Xenopus tropicalis: one gene and its partner. The protein of the gene in region 1 purifies or fractionates together with the protein of each later gene. This does not show direct contact. Links are inferred from orthologs where the notes say so. Each region holds a gene or a part of one and is shown on either strand. Other genes may lie near its edges.

Region 1 (8,552 bases):
GAGTTGTGCTGCTAACTGGTAAAACCTGCCAATCGGTATGCTTTGAGGCATGATGGAAATGTCCTGTTATTGAAAATATACTTGGGAGTCCCTTATACCTATGGTAAGACTTCTGTGCCTAATACTTTAGCTTCAAGGCAAACTGGCTCCCAGCACCACCCCTACCTTCTTCTGTATCCTGCTTCTCTCAACACAGGCTACCTTGGAAATTCCCCGCCACCACCAGAGCATAAAACTAAACAGTGTTAACAAAACAGAGCAGTAATAATGAGCAATAAGAAAAGAAACATAAAACAATATTCATAAAAGCAAAGTAATCTGATACAAAACAAAGCAATGAACACTTAGGCTTGGACACTTTTCCCACTTTACACAGACACCCACTCATACACTTTATGGTCACTTCATAAGCAACCAGTTAGCCAATTTGATTGTATTTTTAGTATTTGTGAGACAACTGCAGCACCTGGAGGATATGCACACAAACATAGAAAAATATATGATTAAAAGGCAGGAGCCCCAATACTGTGGGACAGCAGTGGCAGACACTACAAACAGTCAAATCTAACTTCATGTTGCAAAGTCTGTTTAACTGTAAGTATTTGGCTCTATTGCATTCTATTAAAAAGCCATGCAATCTCATGCATAAAAACTGCATCCAAATCACATTGTTTTCTGTGCAGCAGGAGTCGCATTACAGATGTGCATATGCCTAATTAGGCCACTAAGGGCAGGAACTTTTGTGCACCATTTTGTATACTCATAGGCTGTGATGAACTAATTGCATACATGACTGTGAATCTGCTCACAGAGAGCCACAGAGCTGGCCATACACACACCAATATAATCATAAAAAACATAATGTAATGCATTTCTGGTATCTGGAGGTATTTATTATACATATGAGATTGCATGGCCTTTTTATGTTCATTGCTTTGGTTTGAACCAGATTGCTCTGCTTTTCGAACCGTGTGTGGGCTCCGAATTATCGTCCCGATAATTTTTGTACCATGGCGATTAGTTGTTTAGTTGATCGGACAGGTTAGAAAATTTCTGTTAGATAATGATAAAATCTATGACTGTATCTGACAATATCCTTGACTGACCTACAATACATTTCTGGGATGTCACTTTTGTTCGATTGTTGTCTGCTAATTATTTTATGTTCAGAACATCCTCCAATTTGTTATTTTTAGTAGTATCGTAGTAGTAAACGTTCATCAGAAGAAGACTAAAATCTGAATGTGTATGGCCAGCTTAATATCTAGCTGTGGCAACTTTGCCTTACAAAAGAGGTTATTTATTTGCTGTGCAACCATTCTAACATGTTTGGGGATGAAACTCCGCTATGATAGTCAAAGAGATAAATAGAGGAATATCTCCAAAGAAGCAGTAGATTGCCTTAGGCTACTCCATGCCCTGGAATGACCTGTTTAGGACCTAACCAGTCAAACTAATTGAAAGAGCAATTCTGCCTTTGTGTACTATTCCTTTTGCTGTGTGAACAAAACCTTTGATTGTACAACCTTTTTTTATACAAGCAGTATGCAAATGAGATGAAGCAACTGGTGAGTCCTTGTTTGTACCCTTGTGTGTTTCTTGTATATGAAGACTGGTGGAAAAAGACCTTACTGCATGCACCTCCATAGCAATGCTTTTACAAAGGGCAAATCCATTTGATCAATTGGGTGAATTTTTCTGGTGTGAGCTCTAAACTCACATTTTGATAAATCTTTCCCTAAATGTATTAATGGCAGAACCACCATCAGGGGGTGTGGAGGGTTAGTGTAGTAAGGAGCACCATAACAGATGTGGGCCCCACAAGACAAGTGGGCAGGTCTTATACTTAATAGGCCATGATGATGACATGGCCATTTATGCACTGGGAATTTTATTCCCTGATGTAAATTGTCCACACAAGTTACTATCATTGTAAATATATTTGGTGTTGGGTAAACGTTGTTTTGTATTTGTTATTTGGCATGTTTGTTTTGTAGATTGTGTGAATTAATGTATGTTTTGTTTGTTATGGCTTAATTATGTTTTTATTTATGAATTCTAATAACCATGAATACATATGTACATATGTAAATTACAATTATACATATTGACATAAATATAACCTTGGGCAAAATACCTCTGGGCCCCCATTCTTCTTGTTGGCAGGGCCCACTGCCTAGTGGACCCAAGTGACTGGTGAGCTAATAACTGAGGCCCCCCCTGGGTAGCGCCCTGCTTACTGAGTAGTAAAAATACATTCCTGCATTAATATATTATTTTTTCTAGTTTCATACACCATTCATACAAAATCTACCCATGCTATTCCTAACAACTGTCACAACTGACTACTATTACAATATACAGTTGGGTGAATATTCTAAATTATATATTGGTAACAGTGTAATTGTAAAGAGTAAACTAAATGGGGCATGTGCAGTAGCAGACACTGATGACTGTGGTCACTATCCCTAGTTGGGTTTGAACCTCAAGAACAGAAACTGAAAAAGAGAATTAGTTTACTGAGCACAGGAGGGGCCTAAAACCCTGGGATCTTTGGAAAACATGATTAACACACTTACTGCACCTCAGGGCCATTTCCAAGGTATTGGGGATTTTAATGTTGGCTGCAACATTTTTGCTGTAGTATATGGATTTGACAGAACTGGTTGACTATATAACCTATGGGGTTGTGTTCTGTAAAAGTCCTACTTATATTTTTCCTTGAAAGAAAATAATGTTTTTTTTTATGATTTAACATTTTGTTATGTTGGTGCTTCTTGCTGGGGTCCTTATGCTAGCAACCCGGAAGCTACATTTATGGGTACAGAGGTACAGAGAAGCAAAACGTATTCAAAAAGTATAATAAAAAACGGTACAGAAAAAAACACTGGACGGTGTTTGAGATTATCAACGTCTTCACGTAATAAACTTTGCCTTTAAGTCTGAGTGCAATGTCCGTGCAAATGCTCTGCACGAAGGATTTACACCAGGAGCATATGGCAGGCAGCAAAACGCAGTTACTAATAGTTCATTAGAAGAAGCAGCTATTTTTCCGTATAATCTATAATATCAAAGGAATCGAACTATTTCTATGGCTTGTCATTTCTCTGCAACTCTGTGTAAGTATATGCACAGGATGAGTTTTGTAAAAGTTTCTCCTTAACTGTTGACTTCATCCTGCCAGCGAGTAAGTAAGAGATTGACGTGGCTCTAAGCCAATCCCGAAGAAGCATCGTCCATTGACTAGAAGCCTTGTCCGCAGAGCGCATGCGCCGTAAAGTCTCCTACAGTTTGGAGTGCGGTGTGAGCGGAAAGTGATACATTGAGGCAAGTGGTGTATGCGAGTGAGTGCCATAGTGTGCTTTCTCTCTGTGGATACTGGAAGCTCAGTTGTAGGGATCTCTCGGCTTTGGCGTGCAAGCTGGACACTTTGCCGGGGATGTTCGGCCTCCGGGACACAATTGTAGGATAAGGAGGAGGTAAGGGGCCCCGGTGTTGTGGGGGATGGGGCAGCGGGACCTTTGCAAGTCTGAGCGGGGGTGGGGGGGGGGGGGTTGTGTGGGAAAATAGTGACTCGGAGACAGTAGTTGGCGATATGGGGTTATACTGGGGGCAGTAAGTTGGGCGGGGGTAAGTTCAGTGCTGCACTGATTTGTGCTCATTCCTTTAATCAGAAATACTGAACTTACCTTACGGTTGCCGATTGGGCCAGTCTCCCACAACCTACATTTCCCTTACTCTCAAGTCGCAATAAACCGTCAACAAAGGTGCAGACACTTTTATATAGGGACATTTCAACATCATTACAATCTATTTGCCCATTTGTGTCTGTTACCCCTCCCATATAGATTGTAAGCTCTACGGGGCAGGGACCTCCTTCATCTTGTGTTTCTGACTCTTATTGCAACTGTACCTTGTATTTATTTGTATTTATTGTTGTACTTTGTATTTATCCATTATCTTTAACCCCCTGTTTGTATTAATGTATTCTACTGTACAGCGCTGCGTACATAAGTAGCGCTTTATAAATAAAGCTATACATACATACAATCTAAATGCATACTTTTGCGCTAAGCTGTAATTGACTCAGCAAGAAACCCTTTATACACGTTTTTACAGACTGCAACCTTTACTAATAGTTATGCAGCTACTCCTAGCTTTTACTCTCAGGGGGTTTTAGAGACTGGCTGTCAGGAAATTGTAATTGTACTTTAAACTGCTGCTATTTGCTTAAATATTTAGTCTTTGGATGTGCATCACAGCAGAAACATTAAGGAAGTGTTTTTTTGGGTGAGACTCTCACGCAAAGTCCCTTAATTCCTTTATAAAAGGATTAGATACATACTTGCATAAGCAAAATATCCATTGCTACAGAAAATCAATTAAGCAATGTCATGTTAACCCTTAGCTTTGCATGAATACAGCAGCTGTCCTGCTATTCTGTTTTTTGGACTACAACTCCCAGCACCACTCACTGGACAAATATTTAGGGGAGTGCTGTGGTTGGACACTTCATAGTGTAGTGCTATTCTCTAGTAAGACCTCTTCAGAGTCTGAGCTGTCAATCTGTCCTTTTGTCACTACAGCGCCTGAGAGATCGGCTTGAAAATAGGATTTACAGCAGCTGATTCCGTTCATCTTTCCTTCAGCTGTCTTGGCCACAATGACCTTATACTGAATGGCTCAGAAGTGGCAGGTTTAAGTCCTGTTGTATTCAGCTTACCCGCAATATATATCCATAACTTACTGGCCTACCTGTGCTTTTCTGTAACTTGTGAGTTTCTCTGTTTAATAAACGGATATATTGCCCCACAAATGAACATGGAACTAATTGATCTGCTTACAATTTGGATAGGATAAGGGGATAAATACATTTATTACTAATTAATGGTGGTACCCCCCCTTTTTTTTTTTTTTTTTTTTTTTTTTAAAGTGAAATTTGTATTCACATCCTGCTATTTATGGGGGCACGGATAATTCCTAAATTGGATTTCTGCTATAAATATAACATGACTGTCTTTGAATAAGGGAGAGCTTTCAAATGCAAGAATAATGCTGGGATTGTCGTCACTTTGGGTAAAAAAAAAAAAGGCCCAGAACTTGTTGATGGGCTCACTCATAGTGAGTGGGGAGGGTTGCACAGACTGACATTATGTGGACCAATGTGTGAGTCTGATGTATTCAACTTTAAATATGAAAAACAGCTGGTAGTGTCTGATACATATTGGGTCAATCATAAGATCCAGTCGCATGTTCTAGTCAATGAGTCTTGCTGCGGGTTATTGTATTTGTACTGATACCGTGATACAGGGATGGTGCCAACATACAAACTGCTAATATTTTTGATGGTAATAAGCAGCAGCATTACTTCTCATCCATTATCTTAATTTCACCTGCAAATTACACATAACCATAGACACTCCTTTGTGTTTGGATGTGTTGCTGCCTTGGGCAAGACAGACGTTGTGGGGCCCTAGTATTTATATTAATAGGCATAGCAAGAGATGGCAGAAAATGTCCTGTCATCAGGGAGCTCATGATTCAATACATGCATTTTTTTCTTCCTACTATACAGGTATGGGACCTGTTATCCAGAATGCTCAGGACCTGGGGTTTTCCGGATAAGGGGACTTTCCATACTGAAAAAATTATTTAAACAGTAATTAATCCCAACTGGATTGTTTTGGCTCTAATAAGGATTAATTATATCTTAGTTGAGATCAAGTACAAGGTCTTGTTTTATTATTACAGAGAAAAGGAAATATTTTTTAAAAAGGGAGATGACCTTTCCGTGATTCGGAACTTTTTGAATAATGGGTTTCCAGATAAGGGGTCCTGCTATGCCAGGTATAGTTCCTTCCCAGAGACTGTCATCCTCACTGTTTCTATAGATAATATGACAACATATAGTTTTTAGCAGTAAGCATGTACCTTTTAGATAAATAAAGCTAGTTTATGTAATTGAAATTGCTTTTATCCCTGTACAGAAAATATCAGAAACAATTCAAATTGTTTTTGCTTTAGTGACATTCCATAGTCTGTGGATTTAATCATTTTCGCTAAAATATTTTGACGTAATTTCCTTTACATTCTTCAAATTACAGAAGTGGCATAGTTAGCTAGAATGTAAGTTCTTTATGTTTAACTGTTCCAGAACCATCGATGTTAATTAAGAGTAAGGCTGTCACAGCCCATGGTGGGGTAACTACTGATTCATTCTCTTTGGGTGGGAAACTCTCTCACCCCTAAATGTCGGTGGTAGCCAGCTGGATGAATTTCTATACCATTGCTTTTAACTATGTATCCCTTCTTTGTGCTAGAAAGGCATTAAACATTTTAAGCCCCCACTAGAATTAGAATTTTAGAATTAGGCTGTTTATCCTATGCTGATTGTAAAACTCAGTTCTCAGCTATTGTTCTCTTCTAATTTATGTCATTCTGGGCTTAAGGCATTGTTTTGAACTGTAACAGTGGTGCTCAAACTAAAGCACTTAAAGGGATACTGCCATGATTTCAATGGTATACTTTTTATTTCTAAATGACACTGTTTACATAGAAAATAATTCACTCTGCCATTTAAAATTTTATTCTTGAACCACAAATGTATTTTTTTAGTTGTAATATTGGTGTGTAGGCGCCATCTCAATGCATTGTGCCTGTGTCTGAGCTTTCAGAAAGAGCCAGCACTACACATTAGAACTTCTTTCAGATAACCTATAGTTTCTCCTACTCCCATGTATCTGGAGGTGTCCCAAGCGGGACTTGGATTTCTTACTATTGAATGCTTTTGTGATATCTTCTTGGAGCTGCTGCCTAGCTACCTTCCCATTGTTCTGCTGGCAGGGGGATGATATCACTCCAACTTGCAGCTCAGCAGGAAAGTGTGACTGAAGTTTACCAGAGCACAGGTCACATGGCTGTGGCACTCTGGGAAATGAAGAATTGGCTAGCCCCATGTAAAATTTCAGAGTTAAATATTAAAAAAATCTCTTTGTGTTTTTGAAAAACAGATTTAAATGCAGGATTCTGCTGGAGAAGCTCTATTGTGTTTTGAAAAAAATGTGTTACCATGACCGTATTCCTTTTAAAGCTGGTTTTATACTGCAACTCCCAGAATCTCCAAGACAGGAACCCACGTGACGTTTCTATTTCATTTCAAGTTCCATGCTTCTAAATACATATAGAATAAATATGAGATGGTCAGTTGTGTAGAATATATCTCCAGTGCCTTGTTATGAGGTTTATAGCACTCATGCAGAGGTTCACATTTTAATGTAATATACAGTGTTCATTGCTTCCCAGAAATGTGTTGCTGGGGACTGCACCACAGACTAAACAAGGCCTCTATGTGAACCATGCAGTCTGAAAAACACTTAACACTGTTTCTGCCTTGTTTTGCTCAAGGCAAAATGATAATATACTGCAAAACCTGTAACAGATGCACCTTAAAGTTGACTTTTTTTCTCAGAAATTATTAGATGGTTTCCCTTCAGCTCTTAATAAAGCAAACATATATATAAGTATGAAAATAAGCACACTGTATTTCCTTTTCTAAGTAATATATGTCTGTTTATATGAGCAGCAGTAGTTATGCTGCTTCCCCAAATTATTGGTTTAAATGAAAATGTTCCCTTAGTGACCATATCATCATTAAAAATTACACTACTTGCATGGCTTTAACAAAACAACACAATTTAAAATATACGCAAGCGAAAACCACGCACACTCACAAACACACAAAATTACAAAATTTGTACCTTTTTAAATGGGCTACTCCCTTTTTCAACATTCGTTCTTTGAAGGGGGGGGTCCTTTAATACAGGGGGCTTCTCAGTGTACTTGTGATTTGTTTTGGTTGTGCTTGTAAAAACAAAGTTTATTGTTTGCTATATTAAAAAAAATAAATTTCTTAATTTAAACACTACACAAAAAGTAAAAAGCCATTTAATTTGGGCCTGTCACCCTAAGAAATAATTCCAATTTCTTTGGTTATTTTATTAAAAATGATTTTGTGTTTTATGTTTAATTTGAGAGAGAATTTTTTTATACAGCTTTTTATGTCTGAGTGACGGGTCCATTTAAGGTTTCAGGTACTTGTCTTGGGTGATAATAATCGGTAGTATTATTTACAAGCATTTCTAAAACACCTACTTTAGTGCTGTACAATAGAAGGGGGGTATGTATACATGGAACACCACGCAGGAGAAAGAGGGACAACTTTACTATCTAGTAAAAACGTGTTAATGATTATAAGAAATATATGTTCTTCACAGATGAAATACATTGGCATCCATTGGTGTAGGAATCGCTGCATGTATAACGCTCCTGTGTAATTATGCAAAAATGTGGAAGCAGATTTTTTTTTCAGTGCAGGGTGGTGGTACATTATTATTTAAATGCCTATAAAGCCTTTTCATTGTTGTAGTTCCTGGCCCTTTAAGATGTGGGAGCCATAGTGCTTAGATTGTTAATGCTGTGGGTTGAATTGAAAATGTGTTTATGCAAGTGGGCATGAAAGGAAAGAACATGCTTGTCACTTGGCATAAAATGAG
Region 2 (7,856 bases), about 22 Mb from region 1:
ATGTGATGGAGAGATGTTCCCAGTTATATTCTGCTTTCATGACTTTGGCAAACTGCGCGTTTTGCAATGCTCTGCGTGCCTACCTTATCACACCCTCTTCATGCACAGTTAAGAGCCCCTGTAAATAACTTTCTGTTCTGTTGATGCTCTGCAGACAGAGCTGCCTTTATGGTGTTCTAAAAAGAGACATTTTGCATAGTGGGGCCCCAAAGAGAGGAGTATGCAGGAGGAGTATGGGTATAGTAGCAGTTATAGTAGGGAGACATGGTGCCTATAGTAGCAGTGGGGGGATAATAGCCTCTGGGAAGGGACTGTGGCTTTGGGATAGCAGGTATAGTAGGGAGAGATGGTGCCTATAGTAGCAGTGGGGGATAATAGCCTCTGGGAAGGCACTGGGGCTGTGGGATAGCAGGTATAGTAGGGAGAGATGGTGCCTATAGTAGCAGTGGGGGGATAATAGCCTCTGGGAAGGGACTGTGACTGTGGGATAGCAGGTATAGTAGGGAGAGATGGTGCCTATAGTAGCAGTGGGGGGATAATAGCCTCTGGGAAGGGACTGGGGCTGTGGGATAGCAGGTATAGTAGGGAGAGATGGTGCCTATAGTAGCAGTGGGGGGATAATAGCCTCTGGGAAGGGACTGGGGCTGTGGAATAGCAGGTATAGTAGGGAGAGATGGTGCCTATAGTAGCAGTGGGGGGATAATAGCCTCTGGGAAGGGACTGTGGCTGTGGGATAGCAGGTATAGTAGGGAGAGATGGTGCCTATAGTAGCAGTGGGGGGATAATAGCCTCTGGGAAGGCACTGGGGCTGTGGGATAGCAGGTATAGTAGGGAGAGATGGTGCCTATAGTAGCAGTGGGGGGATAATAGCCTCTGGGAAGGGACTGGGGCTGTGGGATAGCAGGTATAGTTGGGAGAGATGGTGCCTATAGTAGCAGTGGGGGGATAATAGCCTCTGGGAAGGGACTGTGACTGTGGGATAGCAGGTATAGTAGGGAGAGATGGTGCCTATAGTAGCAGTGGGGGGATAATAGCCTCTGGGAAGGGACTGGGGCTGTGGGATAGCAGGTATAGTAGGTAGAGATGGTGCCTATAGTAGCAGTGGGGGGATAATAGCCTCTGGGAAGGGACTGGGGCTGTGGGATAGCAGGTATAGTAGGGAGAGATGGTGCCTATAGTAGCAGTGGGGGGATAATAGCCTCTGGAAAGGGACTGGGGCTGTGGGATAGCAGGTATAGTAGGGAGAGATGGTGCCTATAGTAGCAGTGGGGGGATAATAGCCTCTGGGAAGGGACTGGGGCTGTGGGATAGCAGGTATAGTAGGGAGAGATGGTGCCTATAGTAGCAGTGGGGGGATAATAGCCTCTGGGAAGGGATTGTGGCTGTGGGATAGCAGGTATAGTAGGGAGAGATGGTGCCTATAGTAGCAGTGGGGGGATAATAGCCTCTGGGAAGGGACTCTGATTATAGAATGGAACTGTGTATGACACAGAAAGCTGAAAGTGGCCTATAATACGGTAGGGAGCAGACTAATACCCCTCTGTATGAGATGTGCTGTTATGTATATCTGCACAGTGCAGCTCGCGGCCCCTTCCTGTGTAGGCTTATCACAGCATTACACTTTACCACAAATGCATGTAAGAACCATCTTATTCAGCAGCAGATTCAGTGTAGCCTATTGCTCACAAAGCTTACATTTTGCATCATTGTGTGGCCCTAGATGGGCACAGCCATCATAGCTGGCTTTGGAAAGGGCCACTGAGTTTTAGCTAGATCTGTCGGCCCAATAAGCTGACGGCTCACTCTGTAAGACCAGACTGACCATCACTGACCCCAGCAACCAAGGAACCCATTGTAAAGTTCCATCTAGCATACGTTAAACGTGAACAAGCCCTTTAACTGTAACTTAACTTTTAGTATTATGTAGAGAGTGCTGTTTTAAAGCAGTTTGCAATTTTTTTTTTATTGGTTTTGGAATAAGCTATTTGTTCTGAAACTTTCCAGTTTGGAATTGTAGCAGCTATCTAGTTGCTAAGGTCCAAATTACCCTAGCAACCAGACAGTGGTTTGAATGCGAAACAGGAATATGGAAGGTATGGGGGACAGAATTGAAGCATAAGTAATAAAAAGTAACAATAACAATACAATTTTAGCCTCACAGAGCAGTAGTGACCCCCCATTTGAAGTTGCTGACTCTGCAGTTTTTTGGGGTTTTTTTGTATAGAGCCCCTTATAGAAGAGATGGTAAAGGCAAATTGGGCTCCCCCCAAGTGTGGTCACTTTGACTAGCAGTGACGGTTGGTGGCAACAATTGCTAGCCAGCCTGGCCCATATGTGTGCTGCACAGAATAGAGGAATGCCCCAAAATAGAGACAGATAAGGCTGCTGCCTCTTTCCTTCCTCTAGTTCCGTATCTCTCTCTGCTGTAGCCTCCCAACTCTGCTGTCTCTTTCCTTAGATTGGTAGCACTAGGGACTGTCTGTTTCCTTACACTGTCTGTATGGCTGTCACATAAACTCAGCCCGTAGCAGTCTCCTTATAACTAAGCCGGCTATAAGCTGTCTGTCTGTGGTGGCATTTAGTTCTTCCTCTTTCTCCCGTCTGTCGTGGCGCCAGCTATGAGCAGTAATGGCTGCTGCTAAGTGTCTGTATTTCAGAGCTCAGTAATAGGTCTCTGGATAATAGATCCCACCGCTGCATTTGCTTTAATTAGCCTGTCTGCACTATGGTACTTAAATGTTTGCATTGTTTTACTCCATGGGGCACAAGTTGAATATCTGTGAGTGTGAGTTGGGGCCTGTCTCAGTAGTGAGCTGTCTCGTTCCTAACAGTCTGTGCTGTCTCGTTCCTAGCAGTCTGTGTGCGTCTCTGCACGCTGGGAGTTGTAGCTTCCTCATTCCGACTCCAGAGCAACTCCCTGCCTTCTGCACAGGTTTCCTGTCATATTCAGCCCCGGAGCATTCCATTGCTATTTACTGAAGGAATGATAAGCAGCCGTGCACCAGGTGCTCCAGCGCTGCCCTCAATGTATAACCCACACCTTGCTCAAAGCCAAGAAATGCCATAGGGATTGGTCACTTCCTCAGCCTGTCAGTCATGCTGGGCTCTGTAAGAATAGCTATTGGGGCCACTAGTAGCCATGCTGGGCTCTGTAAGAATAGCTTTTGGGGCCACTAGTAGCCATGCTGGGCTCTGTAAGAATAGCTATTGGTGCCACTAGTAGCCATGCTGGGCTCTGTAAGAATAGCTATTTGTGCCACTAGTAGCAATGCTGGGCTCTGTAAGAATAGCTATTGGTGCCACTAGTAGCCATGCTGGGCCCTACACATACAGTAGCCGAGCCATAACCCCTGATTTCCTCATGTGTGAGTACAATGCATTGTGGGAGAGCAGGGCCAGTTTGGCAACACTGCACTGTACTTATAGCCCCCCCCATGAGCCTCTGGCAGGGATCGTTGGGAGTTGGAATCCATTAAGGCGAGTGGTTGGCTAGGCAGTATAAACCCTGTACCAGCGCTTATCATTGGCTGCTCACACGTGAGCCAGTGCTGTTGATCTATAACTTTCTGTGCCCTTCATTTATCCCTCCATTCATACTGCCTCCAGTGTGCATTTTCTCCTTGGTTACCTCCATTTGTTTCCTCATTAACCCATTCATCCTTTTGTGCTCTTTCTACAGTGAAAGAATTTCTGGCAAAAGCAAAAGAAGATTTTCTGAAAAAATGGGAAAATCCAGCACAGGTAACAAACCCTTATTTGGCTGGGGTTGTTGGGTGGTAATGAACCAAGTTTATCAAGGTCTTGTAACCTTTGGCAACCAATCAGGTGTGCGCTTAAAAACAGTAGATATGTATATTTAACTCTTTATTGATTGCTAAGAGTATGTGCAGGGTTTCCTACAGGAACTGATTGTGTTGCACAGCATATTGCTTCATAAAACTGCCAAGAAGCTGTGCAAAAGAACTGCAAGGTAAGCTTTCTAAAGGCCCCTGCTGCCTGGCCTTCTACCACTGGTAGTCAGTCTGAAATGTAATCATTCCTATCTTCCCACAGTCACTCTGTAGGGTCCAAAGGAAAAGATCTGTTTATATTTCATGCTAAACCTGCCTCAGTCTGTTTGTTGGTGCAGCAGTATCACTTCTCCCCCTGTACCTCTCTTGCAGAACACAGCTCACCTGGAACAGTTTGAGCGCATTAAAACTCTTGGCACTGGGTCATTCGGGCGAGTAATGCTGGTCAGGCACAAAGAAAATGGCAGTCACTTTGCTATGAAGATCTTGGACAAGCAGAAGGTATGGCATAAATATTTTCTGTTTCCATGTGTGCAGGGGTCCTTTGTTTAGAGGTGTACCCCACTATAGGTTTGTAGGGGGAATCCCAATCAGTAATTTCCAGTTACTCATTCCGTTTGCCCCACCAGGTGGTGAAGTTGAAGCAGATCGAGCACACTTTGAATGAGAAGCGGATACTGCAGGCTGTGAATTTCCCATTCCTCGTGCGGCTGGAGTATTCCTTTAAGGTACAGTGGGGAGTAACAGTAGGGGAAGGTGGGTGGGGCTGGCATTGCAGGATGTACAATGACTTGGTGGGCTAAAAGGGAATAGGTGGGGAGTTTATAAAGGATTCAAACCTTTCGGGTCTTTAGACTACAGGTATGGGACCTGTTATCCAGAATGCTCGGGACCTGGGGGCTTCCGGATAAGGGATCTTTCTGTCATACCTTAAATTTACTAAAAAGTCATTTAGACATTAAATAAACCCAATAGGACTGTTCTGCCCCCAATAAGGGGTAATTATATCTTAGTTGGGATCAAGTACAGGTACTGTTTTATTATTACAGAGAAAAGGGAATCATTTAACCATTAAATTAACCCAATAGGGCTGTTCTGCCCCCAATAAGGGGTAATTATATCTTAGTTGGGATCAAGTACAGGTACTGTTTTATTATTACAGAGAAAAGGGAATCATTTAACCATTAAATAAACCCAATAGGGCTGTTCTGCCCCCAATAAGGATTCATTATATCTTAGTTGGGATCAAGTATAAGGTACAGAGAAAAGGGCATCATTTTTTAAAATTAGACTCCATTATAAGCAAATAATTCTATGGGAGATGGCCTTCCAGTAATTCTGAACTTGCTGGATAAAGGGTTTATGGATAACTGATCCCATGCTATACAACAACTGAGGGCTGGCATTGCTCCTGGAAGTGCAGAAAGACTGGCACCCCCATATATAAATAAGGCATGGCCAACATCTTCCATTTTGTGCCAGCAGCTATCCGTATGACATCCCATATGTATACTCTGAGAATATCTAACAAGTTGTATATAATATGTTGTCACTTTATTTACTCCATCTCCTTCCCTTTTGATACAACTCCCTCTCTGCACTATCCTAAAACTGGCCCCGCGATACCCAGCATCCTTAGGAACAGCTAGCTGGGGATGCTGGGAGAAGTTTAGAAATACAATAAGGCTGCTGGTCTGTATTGTGCAGTGACAGCGTAATGCACTCTAGGACTTATTCTCTCCCCCCACCCATGTCTCTTCTGCCCTGGATGTGCTATTGCCTCACCTTTCCTAATGTCTTTTCTTCTCCTCCCTCCAGGATAACAGCAATCTGTATATGGTCATGGAGTATGTCGCCGGTGGGGAGATGTTCTCTCATTTGCGCAGAATCGGGCGCTTCAGGTAAGCATAGGCCAAGACTGCTAATGCCCTTACCAGTATGCGCCCATTGGGCCCTGAATGCTTGAGAGTGGTCACAAGGTGATAGCCACTATCAGGGTTAGGATAGTTATCAATAACTTCAGAATAATGGCTCCTTATGTACAGAACTGCAGCCTGCTCTCTGCAAACACCAATGCTCCTTATTAATATTCAAGTATTTGGGCTTTATGGTATGTTTCTCTGTCCCAAACACCTTCTGGTTACAGACTGGTCTCTCATAGATGTGTTTATAGCCAAGAAACCTTAAACTTGTACCCCTGAAAGGAAAACTATACCCCCAGAATGAATACTTAACCAACAAATTGTTTATATCATGTTAAGTAGCCTATTAAAAAATCGTCAAACTGGAATACATATATATCGGTAAAAATTGCCTTTTTACACCCTTTCCCTTGAGCCGCCATTTAGTGATGGGCTGTGTGCTCCCTTAGAGATCAGCTGACAGGAAATAATGCAGCTCTAACTGTAACAGGAAGTAGTGTGGGAGCAAAAGGCAGAACTCTGTCCATTCATTGGCTGATGGGGCCTAGCATGTATGTGTGCCTTGGCTTGTTTGTGTGCACTGTGAATCCTATGATCCCAGGGGGGGCCCTTAGTACTTTAAATGGCAGTTTCCTATTTAGGATTACCCAGTGGCTAATACTCCTTAAAAAGTATATTTTTATGAAAATGGTTTATTTAGATGAAGCAGGTTTTTACATATGAGCTGTTTATACAATATATTTTTATAGAGACCTTCATTGTTTGGGGGTATAGTTTTCCTTTAGTGCCCATTACCTTTATACGGACTGTCCCTGCCATATATGTTCCCTCTGATGTGCTCACAAACACTTTATGGGCCAAACTTGGGGCAGACCGGCTGTTTATCTCATAACCTGATATATTATAAATCCCTGGGACTAAAGCAGGGTGACAGTCTCTAGCCATGTTGTAATTCAGGAAGTAAGCAATTCACCCCTAAATCTCACCCTGTTTGCCCTTCAGAGTGTTTCCCTTGGGGGGTGCAGGGGTAGAACCTGTCTCATTGTTCGTGAATCACAACCCTCAGTCCAATTGACCTACCTTTTAAGTTTTTGAGAGGAAACTGAGAGTGAACATATAAACAGATTATGCAGTAGATCATACAGTCCGCTGTGCCAACACTAAGGTACCAAGTGTCAGCACAGAAGAGTCTATGGTTCAGGGGGTGGCCTTACTGCCAGCGCTAAATGAGAGAAACCCAGGATCCCAGTGGTGCCATAGAGCCGTACAAACTCCTTTGCCACTGTCCCGTCACGTCCCCCTATAGGTTTACATCATGATGTTCAGATACGGCTTCTATTCCTCTCCAACTAATGTTCTACCTTCTCTCTGTGCCGGTTCTAACACCCGGATGTTACCGGAGATGGACTTTGCCTCATTTCCTCTGACAGCTGCTGTGGGCAAGCCCATGGTGATTTCCAAGTTCTGTCTCCTTTATCAGCACCATGCTGCTTATCTGTGTATTTGCATGGGCAATTATACGGGCTGACGGTATAACCATACACCCAATTGGAGAAGTACACCGCCTTCCTCATCTATGGGTCCTCTCAGTAAATATTGTCCTTTGTACACATGGCACTGACCTATCATTCAGCCCTTTTATTGAGATTGTGCATCACATCTGTCCCTCTTTGAATGGAGCTTACAGCCTACTTGCCCTAGCACATACTCACACTCAAACACACACTCATGATTGGAGTTCCAACCTATACAATGGCTTACAGAGCTTGTGTGCCCCTGAGAGATTGGTGGCTGCCCCAGGGTTCCCCTTGCCTTATCACACACATTCCACTGCTAGGTGCAGCCGGCTGCAAGGATGGAGCTGGAAATGAAGTGAGCGGTGTGTATACAGCAGACGTTTAGGGTTAGGACCTCCTTATAGGCATAGGTTTTGTTGGGGGAGGAATAGACAGAGCAACACTGAACTCTGAGGCAACCTGCTCTGCACTGACTGGTCCATCCCCCCCCCCCCTCCCCAATCTGGTAACCAAGCTGCCCCCTTTCCACTTGGGGTGAGTATTCTGAGATTTGTAGATCTTTCTTTAGCTGATGTCTGCAGTTCTAACTGCTTGCAAATAAAAGTAATGGCCAGGCCAGCACTGTT

The links.
Region 2: the proteins of akap13 (region 1) and prkaca purify together in Homo sapiens (affinity purification with mass spectrometry; 3 studies listed by BioGRID and IntAct, with this or other methods). This does not show direct contact. The link is inferred for Xenopus tropicalis from reciprocal best matches to the Homo sapiens genes AKAP13 and PRKACA.

Annotation. Positions count from the first base shown.
Region 1 is NC_030679.2:111,690,070-111,698,621, reverse strand, and holds the start of akap13 (A-kinase anchor protein 13), read left to right. Parts: upstream 1-3,257; 5' UTR 3,258-3,479; intron 3,480-8,552. UniProt on the Homo sapiens protein: Scaffold protein that plays an important role in assembling signaling complexes downstream of several types of G protein-coupled receptors.
Region 2 is NC_030679.2:134,184,825-134,192,680, reverse strand, and holds part of prkaca (cAMP-dependent protein kinase catalytic subunit alpha), read left to right. Parts: intron 1-3,679; coding exon 3,680-3,741; intron 3,742-4,163; coding exon 4,164-4,292; intron 4,293-4,420; coding exon 4,421-4,519; intron 4,520-5,609; coding exon 5,610-5,692; intron 5,693-7,856.